2 linked regions of the Rhinolophus ferrumequinum genome follow. The protein of the gene in region 1 interacts with the protein of each later gene in a pairwise test. Links are inferred from orthologs where the notes say so. Each region holds a gene or a part of one and is shown in the gene's direction. Other genes may lie near its edges.

Evidence for each region.
Region 2: the proteins of DTX2 (region 1) and ABHD16A interact in binary tests that used the Homo sapiens proteins (3 or more experiments, as listed by UniProt). The two-hybrid records come from large-scale screens. The link is inferred for Rhinolophus ferrumequinum from reciprocal best matches to the Homo sapiens genes DTX2 and ABHD16A.

Annotation. Positions count from the first base shown.
Region 1 is NC_046290.1:92,357,778-92,364,756, reverse strand, and holds the start of DTX2 (probable E3 ubiquitin-protein ligase DTX2), read left to right. Parts: upstream 1-3,930; 5' UTR 3,931-4,076; intron 4,077-4,195; exon of another isoform or gene 4,196-4,271; intron 4,272-5,245; exon of another isoform or gene 5,246-5,410; intron 5,411-6,979. UniProt on the Homo sapiens protein: Regulator of Notch signaling, a signaling pathway involved in cell-cell communications that regulates a broad spectrum of cell-fate determinations.
Region 2 is NC_046286.1:2,188,120-2,195,667, reverse strand, and holds the start of ABHD16A (phosphatidylserine lipase ABHD16A), read left to right. Parts: upstream 1-4,492; 5' UTR 4,493-4,546; coding exon 4,547-4,678; intron 4,679-5,721; coding exon 5,722-5,778; intron 5,779-6,498; coding exon 6,499-6,565; intron 6,566-6,810; coding exon 6,811-6,897; intron 6,898-7,548. Other genes in the region: LY6G6F (lymphocyte antigen 6 complex locus protein G6f), read right to left, coding at 127-193, 367-522, 1,466-1,729, 1,813-2,142, 2,642-2,699. UniProt on the Homo sapiens protein: Phosphatidylserine (PS) lipase that mediates the hydrolysis of phosphatidylserine to generate lysophosphatidylserine (LPS). LPS constitutes a class of signaling lipids that regulates immunological and neurological processes.

The DNA of each region.
Region 1 (6,979 bases):
TCCTTGGAAGAGCTATCTCCACTTCTAGACTGCATCCCTGACCTTCATGACCACAGACATATTTGCTCCAGCTTCTCACTCTCCATGGAAACCACTCTGGTCACCAATGGCTTCCCTGTAGCAAAGTCAGAAGTTTGGGACCTTTCTTGAAGTCAGCTGGCAGATTAAAAGATGAGAGAGCCCAGACCTGGGAGGCAGGAGCCCTGGGTTCTGGGACAGGCTGCCCCCCCAGGGGACCATCCTGTTGGGCCTCTCAGGAGTATCTATCACCACAGAGCACCACCTTCATGGGACACTCCCTTTGGTTCCCTGCCATGCTCACCCAAGCCAGCCCCTTCCCCAGACACTCCTACCTCTCACCTATCCTTCAAAGGCCAGTGTTTCTTAGCCCTGGACTCACCCTTTGTCATCTTCTGTGGTCTTTCTAGGTGACCTCGATGTCATTGTCAGTGACTCCAAAATCCCTGTCTCTAGCCCAGATCTCTCCAGAGCCTCACACCTGGCTGGTCTTCCCTCTCCCCTACTCATACTCAACTTGTTGACTACCCCCCTTCTCTAGTGTTCTCCACCCCATGTGAGTTTACTCCCATGCACCCAGGCTTCCAGACAGTGAGTGTCCTTCCTGCCTCCGTTGAGTTTCTCTACCCCAGCTTTCCTCCTGGATCCCCCATTAGTCCTCAACCTTGGCAGGCCTGGCAAGCCTCCCCCAGAGCTCCAGCTGCTCCAGCTCTCTGGGTTTAGAGATCCTCCCCTCTCCGGAGCCTAGATTCCAGAAGCTTTCAAACCCACTCTCCCACCATTATTCTGTTGGTGTCTCTAGGTGTGTGTGCAGTGGGGTTTTTGGACAATAACTATCATTCCAGCGTTTTACTGGGGAAAAAGGAAGCACTTAAGAAAATACCTTGGGGTAGATGGGTGGCTCAGTTGGGTAGAGCACGAGCTCTGGGCAACAGGGCTGCCGCTTAGATTCCCACATGGGCCAGCGAGCTGCGTCCTCTGCAACCAGAATGAAAACAATGAGCTGCTGCTGAGCTGCCACTGAGCTCCCAGGCAGCCAGATGGCTCAGTTGGTTAGAGCATGTGCTCTCAACTACAAGGTTGCCAGTTCGATTCCCACAAGGGATGGTGGGCTGCGCCCTCTGCAACTAAGATTGACTGGACTTGGAGCTGAGCTGTACCCTCCATAACTAAGATTGAAAGGACAACAACTTGACTTGGAGCTGATGGGTCCTGGGAAAAACACACTGTTCCCCAATCAAGTCCTGAAAACACACACTGTTCCCCAATAAAGTCCTGTTCCCCTTCCCCAATAAAAATCTTTAAAAAAAAATCTATCTATCTATCTATCTATCTATCTATCTATCTATCTATCTTTTGAATGTTGAATAACTTTTCTAATGCTTCAGACCATGTCATCTGCACTCCCTCCCCCAATGAGGCCAGTCATGGGGGGGTGCTCATATCTGGAATTGGACACTACCTGAATGTAAAGACAAGCTCTGCCACTCTGCCACTTGCCAACTGTGTATGTCACCTTAGACACATTGCTTAAGCTCTGTGTCTCAATGGGCCTCAAATGTCCTTTTTTTTAAATTGGGGAACAGTGTGTTTTTCTAGCGCCTATCAGCTCCAAGTCAAGTCGTTGTCCTTCAGTCTAGCTATGGGGGTGCAGCTCAACTCCAAATCTAGTCGCCGTTTTCAATCTTAGTTGCAGGGGGTGCAGCCCACCATCCCATATGGGAATCGAACTGGCAACCTTGTTATTAAGAGCTCACGCTGTAACCAACTGAGCCATCTCGCAGCCTCACCGGCAGCTCAGTAGCAGTTTGTTGTCTTCAATCTAGTTGTGGAGGGCGCAGCTCACTGGCCCATGCAGGAATCAAACCGGCAGCCCTGTTGTTCAGAGCTCACGCTCTAACCAACTGAGCCATCCAGCCACCCCAAATGTCCTCATCTTTAAAATAGGGATAACGATAACACCGATCTCATTGAAAGAATTCAGTGAGGTGATGCATGTCAAGTACTCGACACACACTAGGTGCTTTAGAAATGTTGTAGATGGTTATGGCTGAGAAGACTGAGACTGAAAGGGGAAGGGATATGTTCCCATCCTGAGTTGTAGCCACTGCAGTCACCTAGTATAAATCACAAATAAAATGCTATCCTTCATTTCTTTTCTTTTCTTTTTTTTTATTGGGGAAGGGGAACAGGACTTTATTGGAGAACAGTGTGTACTTCCAGGACTTTTCTTTTTTTTTTCCCAAGTCAAGTTGTTGTCCTTTCAGTCTTAGTTGTGTCGGGCGCAGCTCAGCTCCCGGTCCAGTTGCTGTTGCTAGTTGCAGGGGGGCACAGCCCACCATCCTTTGCGGGAGTCGAACTGGCAACCTTGTGGTTGAGAAGATGCACTCCAACCAACTGAGCCATCTGGGAGCTCAGCGGCAGCTCAGCTCAAGGTGCCGTGTTCAATCTTAGTTGCAGGGGACACTGCCCACCATCCCTTGTGGGACTCGAGGAATTGAACTGGCAACCTTGTGGTTGAGAGCCCATTGGCCCATGTGGGAATCGAACCAGCAGTGTTCGGAGTTAGGAGCACAGAGCTCTAACCGACTGAGCCACCGGGCCGGGCCCTATCCTTCATTTCTTGATGGAGGTCTGGCTCTGGGAGTAAGTGGGAGAACTTGACTTTGGTGCCTCTCTAGACTCAAAGCACGTGTCCTCTAAGTCAGCTCCCAGGTGGTGGAGTTCTGGCTTAGGGTACCAGAGACTTGGCGTACGACAGGTGCTCCTTCTCCTTCACGAACTTCTGGTGGGTTACTCCCCTACCCTGGTTCTCAGCGTCCTCTTCTATAAAATGAAGCTTTGGAACCAAATGCGGAGAAGGTGTCTTCCTCCATCCCCAGCAGTCTGAATCTTCCTCGAAATCCCTGATCAAGAATGAGTGACATGAGAGTATGTAAAAATACTTAGAGTCTGAGATTCAGAGGACTCTGTTCCCTAGAAACCGTATGCAAAATGTGTGTAATATGTGTGTACACGTGTGAACACTGATATTTGAGCATTTTTTTCTGGGAATAACTTTCTTTAGCTTTGTAAAGGAAGTATGTGATTCCAGATTCATCACCATCCTGGCTTAGGCTTCTTTATCTTTGACCTGAACTACAGCAACAGCCTCCAAACAGGTCTCCCTACACCTTTCTCTCCCTTCAGTCTATCCTCCGCCCACCACACAGGGTATCCTTCTAAAAGTTCAACACTGACTCTGGCAACGCTGTCTCCAGTTGCTTAAATTCCCTGCATGGCATTTAAAGTCTATCAGACTTTACCCAGCCTTCTCCCCATTCTCATATCCTGCCACACCCTAATTCATTTTTCTCTGTCCTCACCCCCTCCATGTACACTCTGTTCTGGCCACAAGGAACATTTCACTGCTTCCTGAATGCGTCAGGCACTTTCACATCTCTCTTTGCATGGGCTTCCCTGTATTCCATCTGGCAAACCCCTATGTGGGCTTGAAAAATACAACTCAGGTATTACCCTTCTGTGATGTCTTCCTGACCGACCCGCTAAATTAAGTACACCTTTCTCTGCTCCCACCCCTTTATGACAACATTTATCTCACTATATTGTAATTGTGTCTTATCCTCAACTAGACACTAAGTTCTTCCAGGAGGGAAACCGAGTTCCGATTGACATGTTAATCCCCAGTACCCAGCACAGGGCCTGGAACCATGTATGTACTGGTAAAAACTATGTGAAACGAATCAGTAAAGTAATGAAGGAGTAAGTCAATAAGTGAACAGGCTAAGAACGAACAATAGCTACACCTGAACAGGTGCGCGTCGGGCTCGGCCCCACCCCTGCCCCGGGCTCCGCCCCCGCCTGAACTACATTTCCCAGAAGGCCCCGCGTCCTGGGCATGCGCACCGGAGCGCAAGGAAGCTGCGACGCGGAGTTTCACTCTGGCTGTCTCCTCCTCAGAGTCGGAGCTACAGCCGGAGTCGTGCCCAGGCCGAGCCGGAGCTGCCGCCTCAGCGCGGCAGTGCCCTCAGCCTGCCCCCTCGCCCTCCTCAGCCTCGGTGAGAGCGGGCGGACAGGCCATCTGCCGGTCGCCAGAGATGGGGTCCGGAGGGCGCGGGGGAGACCAAACTGAGTTGGGACCGGAAGGGGGCGGGCGTGGGAGTGTGGGAGGGCTGGGCCCGGCCGGACTGTCGTCCCGGGGTGAGGTCCGGGGAGGGTTGAGAGGAGTGGTCTCCTCACTGAAGATCCCGGAGGTGAGAGTTGGGGAATTAGGAGGCGCTGGGAGCTTAGGACAGGACTCGGCGCTGGGTGGGAGGGTGAACGCTAGGGTGGAAGCCGAAGGGCGAGCAGTGGGAGGGGCGCAGACCCTGGAAGTTTAGGTCGGTCGGGAGGAGTGGACCCCTTCTCACAGGACCCGCAGGAGGCGGTGGTGATATTACCCCCGGGCTACCTTGTTAGGGTGAGGGTTCTGTTGGGGTCTGTCCACAGGTGAATGACTCACTGGAGCGGGGGCTCCAGTAGAGGACTTTGCCACCTGACTCTGCTTCCCTGACCCAAGTGGTGTCTGCCTTCCGGGAAGCTCCGGTTTCCAGAGACCCTGGGTTACTTTTGTGGGGCGCATAATGTATGCTGAAGAGGATTTAGGAGACTTTTTCTGGAACTACCTACCCTTTCATCCCGACTTTGTCAGCCAGCTATTCTTCACACTGGTTCCACTTCCCTAAGTGCCATTAGCAGTGAAAGTAGTGTGTGCACAGATGCTTGAACCCTTAAGAAACTAAAAATATTTTTGCATGCTATCCCAGCTATTCTAGAGTTTTAGAAGGTGGACTTTCTAAGAGCCAAAAGGAGGCTTTAGTTAAACCATCAGAGTAACTAAAACTAGGTCTCTTGTTCATTGCTGTGTGACTTTGACCAGAATTTTACCCTCTCTGGTGTATTGATTTTCTGGATGCCTACATTACAGGCTGGCTTATAAAGTCCTATTGGGCTTCAGTATGAAAGGGCTCGGGGTTTGTGTGTGTGTGTGTGTTTAAACCATCCCCTTGATTATTGAGTAGGCAAAGGAAGACTACTGTACCTTCTGCTCTGCCCAGGCTGTTGGAAAATAAATCTGGTGGTTTCCAGTCCCCAGTCACAGCACATGGACCCAACATCTGTGCATTCGTTTTCACTAACTGCTGTTTCTCAATTTAAAACCTGATCATCTTCTTCCTTGTTGGCAAAGGTGCCTTGGAATTTGTGTCGCTGAGTCAGCAAGCCTTTCAGATTTGCCTGGTTTTTGTTGTTTGCATTTTATATCAAGATGGGAACTCGAACAAGTCATTCCTCCTAAGGATCTGGTGTCTCCATCAAGAAAGGACAGTTTGTGCCAGCTCTCCAGAGAGAGGAGGTGAGAGCCATGGGGACTTGACATTGCTGTCTTCTCAATCTGGTTTTCAGTAGAGAAGGTGGGGACTGGGCAGGGTGGAATTTGAGGTCTCCAGGATGAAAGTGAGCCTGGGAGTAGATTGTTGATTGCCAACTTGCTCAAATAAATTTAAGTGGCTTCTGGCCAACGGCTTCTCCTGTTTAACCAGTCTTAGAGGGTGCTTTCCACATGGTTTGCACTTTAAGACATGCTTTATGGGGTGAAGGACGAAAGTCATGATTTCTGCATTTGAATTGGAAATTTTTATTTCTTTTTTTGCATGAACCTTTACTAGCGTCATACCAGCTCAGTGCTGGGGGTACAGTGAGGAGCAACAAGAGTACTCTGGGACTTTGTGGTTTGGTGGAAAAGACACCATAGACAGTGACAAGGTGTCAGTGATACATGTTGAGGGGGCACTCCCAGGGAAGAGCCGCCACTCGTCCAGGAAGGTGTAAAAGGGAAGGTGGGACAGTCAGGAAGGCTTCCGGAAGATGATAACCCAAGGTGAGTTGTGAAGAAGGAGTAGGACTTAGAAAGTAGGGGCAGTAGTCTGGCAGAGGAGTTGGCATATACAAGTCGTGAAGCTACCTGGCATGTCTGGGCCACAGGGAGTAGCTTCGTGTGGCTGCAGCAACGGGATGGGTGTGGAGTAGAGGCTGCTGGGAAGGTGGATAGAGGGCTGAGTGTGGAGGGTTTCGTGGGCCATACCAAGGCTCTGGGGAGCAGAAAGATTTTAGAAGAAGAATTCCATGAGGAGCGTTTTCAATGAGCACACTGGCTGGAAAGTGTGGAATGGGTTAAATTGGATTATTCTCCTGATGACTGTTTCCTTACACCATGCCAGCTTCTGGTAGGGGGACGTAGACATGAGATTTTGCTCTCAGCTTGCTCATAGTCTCATGGATGGACATAAAAACTGTAACGGACAGAATGCTGATAAACAGGTATCTTCTTTCAGTTGGGCATGTCAAGGCATCATGGAGGTGATGTTTGAATGGGGCCGTGAAAGTTGGGTCAGGTGAGGGTGGGTGGTCAAGTGAATGGGATTCTGCATAGAGCTGAGGTACAAAGGGGGGCAAACGGGATGTATATGGGGGTAGCATGTCATCACTTAAACTCTTTGGGAGAGGGAGGTGTACATGAAAGAGGGTATTGAAGGGAAGTGCACTGGCAAATACTGTTGACGGGGAGGGACCAGATTGCGATGGCCTTTCATTGTCAACCCAAAGAACTTGAACTTTATTCCAGAAATCCAGGGGAGGTGTGGAAGAGACAGAATCAGAACCATACTTCAGGAAGCCCAGGCTTGCACCTGTCTCTGAGGTGGACTAGAAGGATAGACTAGAGTTGGGGAAGCCAGTTAGGAGAGAATATTTATCAAGGTGAGAGGCGTAAAGGTCGCAGTTGGTTGCTGGCAGTGGGGGCTGAGGAGGCAGGAGAGAGCAAGCCATGGCAGCTGTGGGGCAGTGGGGGAGAAGGTTGCGTCAGGTTTTTCTCCTAACTGCCTGGGACAGAGTGAAGCCAGGGAATCCAGGAGGCAAAGGAGAA
Region 2 (7,548 bases), on another chromosome or scaffold:
TTTGTGAAACAGAAAGACACATTAAGGATACCGCCATTCTCCATGCCCTCAGAAACCAGAGCCCTAGGCCGACCCAACTCCAGTCCTCTTTGGGATTTAAGCCTCTGTCCTCTAGTTGTTCCTCACCTGAGTCGGGCCAAATGGATGTTTTCATAGACCTGGATTTCAGGTTTGAACTGAGGAATCGAGGCATCTGGGGAGCAAGAGCCATATGGGGTATGGCAGAGAAGTCACCAGGTAACTCTGAGCTGTATTCCCTTCCCCCTCCTGCCCTGGAGAAGATGGGGTACAGAGGTAAGATGAGAGCCCACCCCTCTGCCTCACACCCACGTGCGGCCTTTCTCCCTCTGGGAGAAAGGGACTCACCTCTGCACTGAGCCCCGTGGATCCTCCGCCTCCAGAGCATGACGCTAAGGACCAAGATGGTGACCCCCTGGCCCGCTGCGAGCAACAGCGTCAAGATCCAGGGCACATCCCAGCCTGTGGAAGGGGCACAGAGGGCCGGGGAGGCATCCATGGAGGCTGCAGTAAGGGCAAGACAGGAGGATAAGGAGTGAGGCAGTGAGGGGGGTCTGTCCCTGTGCCCCAAAGAGAGGCTTCGTAAGCTTTCTTGCCCCCAAATCCACCCCCCATACACCCCCTCCCCTACTTTGCCCCTTTCCAGGTCTCTCACCCGGACCCCATGAGTCAACATGGATGCAGAACGGCGATGCTTCCCACCCCCCACACAACGGCCAGCTAACTCTGGAGCAGACAACCGGCCATAGCTCATTTCTCCTCATACCCTTCACAGTAATCTACCCTTTCAAGAGAAAATAAAAGTGCCTTCCATGTGTTCATTCTTCCGTTCACTTGCTCAGCTCCGTAAGCGTTCGCTGAGCGCCTGCCATAGGCCAACACCATAGCAGGTGCCGTGCATGCAGAGGGAAGCGCAGCCTAGCGGCTGCCATGGGTGACCTCTGTTCCCCAAATAATGGCCACTTGCTGCTCCCTCCGGCCTTGTAAACGGGTTATTCCACATCCAATAGCATTCTGCCTCTGTGTAAAGGACTTTCTTATAAAACGATTCTATTTTTTTCTCCTCTGCCTTCACTGTCAATGGGCCATTATAACATCAGTGCATACATCCTTTCTTCAAAAGACAACTCCTCCAGCAGTAATTCTTATTTTCTTCCTTTCTGCTATGGGATGTGCCACACAAATCAGATTGGCCTATTTCTAGACGATGCTATATTCCACCAGGATTCTCCTTCTCACTCTTGGCTATGGTCTATCCCCCCAGATAGCTGGCTTAACCAACCCTCTTCTCTGTTATGGAATCAGTCAATGAGAAAAAAGTCCTCCTCTTGCAAGATATGGTCAGCTCCACCAGAAATCATCCCTCCTGGACAGATTTGCCTCCTCTCTCACCTCCTCTCCAGCCAGCAGGTATGGGATGTGCCTTCCCATATCTCCCTCAGTTTACCTGCCAGGCTAAAGCTGACCCCTTTGTTCTGAGGCATGACACAGCGGATGATCCTTGGTCTACGACCCTTAGGCTCAGGAAGCCCCTCTCCAGGACACACCAAGAGCAGGGCAGCCCCATTGTTCCAGAAGGACTGTACCCGGCCCCTCACAGGACCCTTCCCCTCCAGCCAGGTCACAGAGTCCAGGCGTCTGGGGGGGACCACAGAGCACAGGAGGACAGAGCAGAGGGATCCATCTGCAGCCTTTGCAGATAGCTGGGATCCTGTGGGGAGAGAGGGACCCCTCAGTTCTTTGCCTTGGCTCCCCCATCTCCCGGTGTCCCCTGGTTTTCATGCCCCCACTCACCTCTAAGCACGGAGACATCATACACCCTCCAGTTCTGGTACTTGTGGCGCTGACCCAGTACAGCGCACCAGTATCGCCCGGCGTCTCCTTCCTTGGACCCTTCCAGCCACAAAGAGTAGTTTCCCAGAAGCTTGAGCCTGGATTCCCTTCCAGGCTTTCCAGGCTCTGCGGCTGGCCTGGCCACCTGGACTTGGGCCACCAGGACAGTGGGGGAGCCTGCTGCAGGGCTGTGGAACCAGGACAGGAGTTCGTCCCCATGCAGGGTGGGTGGTGAGGGACATGGCAGCTCCACGGCCTCCCCCAAGACCACGTGGATGGCCAGGATGTTGTCTGTGGGAAGCGGCTTGTGTGAGGCCAGAGACCTCCATCAGATCAACAAACACCCAGCGGACCTCCAAACCCCTGGCTTCCTTCCTTTCTAAGATCCCTCAGCAGTGGCCTGCCTGTGAGCACATTTCTCAAGTGACAGCTATAAAAAATGTGAGACGGAGAAAAGAGGTAGGGGCTTTCCTCGCCTCTCCCCAAAAGAGTGAGAGAATCTGAGGATAAGAGGGAAAAGGCTGGAATAGTTGGCAAACGCCCATATCTCTCTTTCATGTTTCGCCTTTTCCTTCTCCTGGAAGCATTTACTCATCCATTCTTATTTTCTAATGGAAACTCTACATGACCTGGACCCTCATTGTCTCTGAGTCTTCCCCAGTATTAGAGGCAGGGGAGGTGAGTCAAGGTAAATCTATCTTCTTGAGTCAGATGTCTTCCCCAGGTCTTTAAGGAGAAACAGTGACAGTGCCTCACGACCTTGCAGAATCCCTCACCTCCTGCTCCTTACCTGCAGCAGCATGGGGGGCCCCACAGAGGAGCAGAAGGAGGAGGAATAAGACCGCCATGTGGAGAGCCTGCCAAGTTCTCTTGCCTGGGAGCTGGTGTCCCCAGGGAGGAAACAGCCCAGATAAAGGCCCATACTCCCTGGTCTGGAGTGACATGGGCCTTTGGAGGGGATGGGAATGCTGGAAAGATAAAGCCCAGCTGCATGGTTACTGGGGAAAAAGTGACCAACACTTTTCTGCTCTGAAGGAAGAAGACCTAGTCTAGGCCATTCCAAAGATGACCTCCTTACCCTCTGACCCCACGTAGGTGAAGGGACTCAGATCAAAGACTCTTCGTGCTAAGAAACCTGCACAGAAGGGGTCATAGCTGTCCCCCGCCTGTCAGTCTGGAAGTCCATTCTGTGTTCTCTCCTCCAACCTTAAAAGACGTCAGCCATGAGCGAAGAACTGTCTTCATGTTGGTCTCCATGGAACCCAGTACGAGACTGCATGCCCAGTCAGTACTTCAGAAATGATTTAGAATGACTTTCCTTGTGGCTGCCTGGCACACCACAGACCTCTTCTGAGCTTCTGATGAGTATATTAAGTTATTACTCAAGGAGAAGGAGAGCAGGGGCCTGGAAAATTCACTGATTCATCCCTTTGCTCCAGGCAGGGCTCTCAGAGCAGACCTTCATATAGCTCTAATAGTTTGTAATGTGTTATATATATTTTTAAGGGCTACTTATTTTTAAAAATTAGTTTTGATAAAATAGTCCATGCATACCAAAGACTATATCTGACATATAACTGTGTAATAGCTAAATAAACTGTGGTATATGCACACAATGGGACATTCCACAGCAACGAGAATGCACAAACCACAGTGACATGCAAGGCTGAATCTCAAAAAGAAGCCAGAAACAAAGGGCATGTATTGTACGTTTCCATTTATGTAAAGTACAAAAGTAGGCAAAACTGATCTAAGAGGTTAAAAATTAAGGTAGTGGTTACTCTTAGGGGGGTGGATAGCAGCTGGCGGTGATTAGAGAGGGTCTTCTAGGTGTGGTAATGTGTTCTTGATCTGGGTGCTGAGACACAGTCAATTGATGCACTTTTCTGTGTATGTGGTTACTATACTAAAAAGGCAGAGTTTCTATATTATGTAGGTGTAATGTACAAAGAAAACTAAAACCTGTATATCTATTAAGAAACAGACTATTACCATTTCAGTCAAAGGTCCTTTACGTTGTGTAACACTTGTCTAAATTTGTTCTTTCTCTTTCACTTACTTGGTTCATTAAATTTTATGTGTTTTTGAATTTTAGACAATGGTGTCATGTTGTATGTAATCTTCTGTGGCTTTCTTTTTTTTCACTTAACATTGTGGTTTTGAGATTTGTCCATGCTTAAGAGCGACGATTCATCTATTTACCAGTATTTCACACATTTAACAAAACTCAGTCTTTCTATCCATGATCATGGTGTAGCTCTCCATTTATTCAAGCCTTCGTTTACCTCTTTCAATAACTTTATATAATTTTCTTCATAAAATCTTGCATTTCTCTGATTAGATGTATTCCTAGACACCTTACCTTTTTTGTTGCTCTTGTCAAGGGCTCCTAATCCTACCGCTCGTTCCCAATGTCACTCGAGTGTCTGCCAATATTATTAAGCGATAGAAAAATGTGATTGAACTATGCCTGATAATTTTCTAACTCTCCGTGTTCCAAAGGCCTTCGTCGAATTTCTGACCATTGCTGCACCCGTAGGTCCAACTGCACGAAATCCTTCTCACGAAGCGCGGAAAATGTCTCAAGCCGGTACGAGGCGGAGCCGGTACGTGCTGACGTCAAGAGCACGCAGCACCTGGGGCGGGGCCAGCAGGGGGACCTGCTGCTGCGAGAGCAGCGGCCCGAGCCGGGGCCATGGCGAAGCTGCTGAGCTGCGTCCTTGGCCCCCGGCTCTACAAAATCTACCGGGAAAGGGACTCTGAAAGGGCCCCGTCCAGCGTCTCTGAGACTCCAACTTCAGTCACTACCCCCCATTCCAGCTCCTGGGTGAGTCGAGATCTCCCCTGGTCGGAAACATGGTACGGCCCAACCCCCTTTGCGGCCTTTGCTCCCCAGAAGCTCCCATTTTTGGAAATCGGGGGAGCCTGCTTGTCAACACAGTTGTGCGCAGAGTCTGCGCTCCTTGTGTTTCCGGGGTTAAAGTCACGCCCGTGTACTGGCCACCTCCTTTTTCGCTGTTTGCCACCGCTTTCTCATTCCGACTGCCCCTCCTTGCTTTTTCCTCTCGCGGCCCCCCACCCTGTCTGTCATGGTTCATGCCGGTTCCAGTTGACTCTTTCAGTCGTGGGAGAGACTCTGCGCGGATTCGGGAGCTGGATGGTTTTGACGTCAAACTCTCGAATTCTTCACACTCAGTAACCCTTGGTGCCTTCCCGGCTCCGTTTTATCTTCCCCTTAGTACGTTTTTAATTTCCACATGACTTCTTCAACATATCACCTATCCGCTGCTCTCCACATCATCCCGCAACCTTCCCTGAAGACCCAATGGTCATTGCACTCATGAAAGCTGGGGGTGGTGGGAGTGGTGTGGTGAGATGTGTGTACCCCTAAGTTGTCTTACTTTTTATCTGTAGTCTCAAATCATGTTTCCGGTTCCCTACAAACTGCCCCGCCACCAGCCAGCCACATTTTCTTCCTTAATCAGCCTACTCTTATTTCTGATGTCCATCGTTCCCTCTTAAAGGAACGATGTCATGGTGTCTTTCCTTTCTTGCCTAACCCCCCTCTCCCCACAGGCATCCGTCCACAACCCATTTGAAACTGGGTCGTAGTAAAAGGAGCAAAAGTCGTCCAATCCTGCTTTCACTTTTGCTTCCAAGTCCAGCCCTCTGTATTTGTTCTCATGGTCGGGGTGGGAAATCAGGTTAGGAGAGGGGGTGGGGAAGAGGGGCTTCTTCCGGAGCCAGGGATGTCCCAGGAGAGGCAGCTTTGGAGGCTGGAACCAGAGGACATACATCAGGGCTTCCAGAAGGGAAGGGGGAGGACTTGTCAATGGGCAGGGTCCTTAACGCAGGCATCTGTTTTGGCAGGATACGTACTATCAGCCCCGGGCCCTGGAGAAACATGCCGATAGCATCCTGGCCCTGGTACGTCTGCTCTGACATCTGAGACTACTGCATCTTTTCAGCCCCCTCTGCCTCTTGAACTTTGTCCTCCCCAGCCTGGGAGAACGCAGCGGCCCCAGGGTGGGGGATGCTCCAGGCTCTGCAGCAGACCTCTCCAACACACAGAGACTCCCTGTCAAGCACGTGCATACTTGGTACTCCCCTTTGGCGTGTGCCCTGCTTTCTGTGGGACAGCCTGAGCCATGAGGAAAATGTGTTTACTCTTGGGACCATTTGCAGGTGCTGAGTCCTGTAGTCCCCAGTGACCTGTCCTCCCTGGCAACTAACCTCTTTGGCTCTAGAGACAGCTGTTTTCTCTGGCAGGGTTCCTGTGGTGACATTTGTGCATCTCTTGGGACCAGACCAGGGACTGTCCTGAGCAGGGCCAATTGAAAAGGCTTGATTAACTTGAGTAGAGAGACTGGCCGTTAAATGTGATGAATTATGTCTGGAGACGATAAGAGGAAGAAAATAGAACCTACACCTAGCCTCTATTATGCTCTGACACATTGCCTTTCAACAAATATTGAGCACCTACTGTGTGCATGATGCCATACACAGAATAGGTACTTCATATGATATCCGTCAGGTTATCCACTTTGCTCAGAGCTTAGGCCTGGTAAAGGGCAGGTGTGTGTGCGTGTGTGTGTGTGTGTGTGTGTGTGTGTGTATTGATTGCTTGTCCCTGTCTCTCTGCTGCAGGCTTCAGTCTTCTGGTCCATCTCTTACTACTCTTCTCCCTTCGCCTTCTTCTACTTATACAGGAAAGGTCAGTGTGGTTTCAAAGGTGGTGGGACAGGAAACGGGCAGATTGTTGGCAGATGAGCCGACCCCCTAAAGAGGAAAGGGGACCTGCAAAGATGGCTTGGCTTCCCTCTTCCATCAGGCATCTTCTTCCTCTGAGGGCATGGCTGTCCCAGTGAGAGGGTGTGGGGTGGAGGTTGGGGCGGAACTGGGAAGAGGAGTTAAGGTGCAGTGGGGAAAGCTTCTCACGTAGTCCCTCTCTCCTCCCAGGTTACTTGAGTCTGTCCAAAGTGGTGCCATTTTCTCACTATGCTGGGACATTGTTACTTCTGCTGGCAGGTGTGGCCTGCCTCCGAGGTAGGTGGAGAGAGAGCCTGGTTTGTATCCATCACTGGGTAAATATCTATTAAGTAATTTCAGCAATTTTGTCTTGGGCCCTAAGGGGAAATAATTGAGAATGGTCAAGGCATGATCTTTTCCTTAAAGGGCTTGAATTGTAAATATGAAAAAATGACTAGGAAAGTTTGCTGTTACTTAGAAAAGCTGCATATACCCTACAACAATTTCACGTCTTTCCATATATGTTTATAATTATGCTAAACTGGAAACAAGTGCACAGCCACAGACAGGAGGACGGATAAATACATTAGGTAGATGGTGCAGTCCTGCATCAGAACGCGCCAATGTGATGCCAGGACAAGCTCAGGCTACATTCAGCAGCGCAGATGAATCTCACAAACGTGGCGTTGAGTGGTTTATGCAGTATGTTTCCACTATGTTTCCAAAGTTCCAAAGGGATGCATATATAAGTGGCAAACACTAAGGAAAACCATGGGCATGGTTATCTTGAAAGTCAGGAGTGATTACCTGGGAGCGGGAGCAAAGACGAAGGGGAGGACTTCTGCTGCGAGGTGGCTTTGTTCTCTTTCTTGACCTGGGTGATGGTCACATGAACGTTTCCTTTGTATTTTTTAAATTGAATGTATGTTTTATGTATGTGTGTTATAT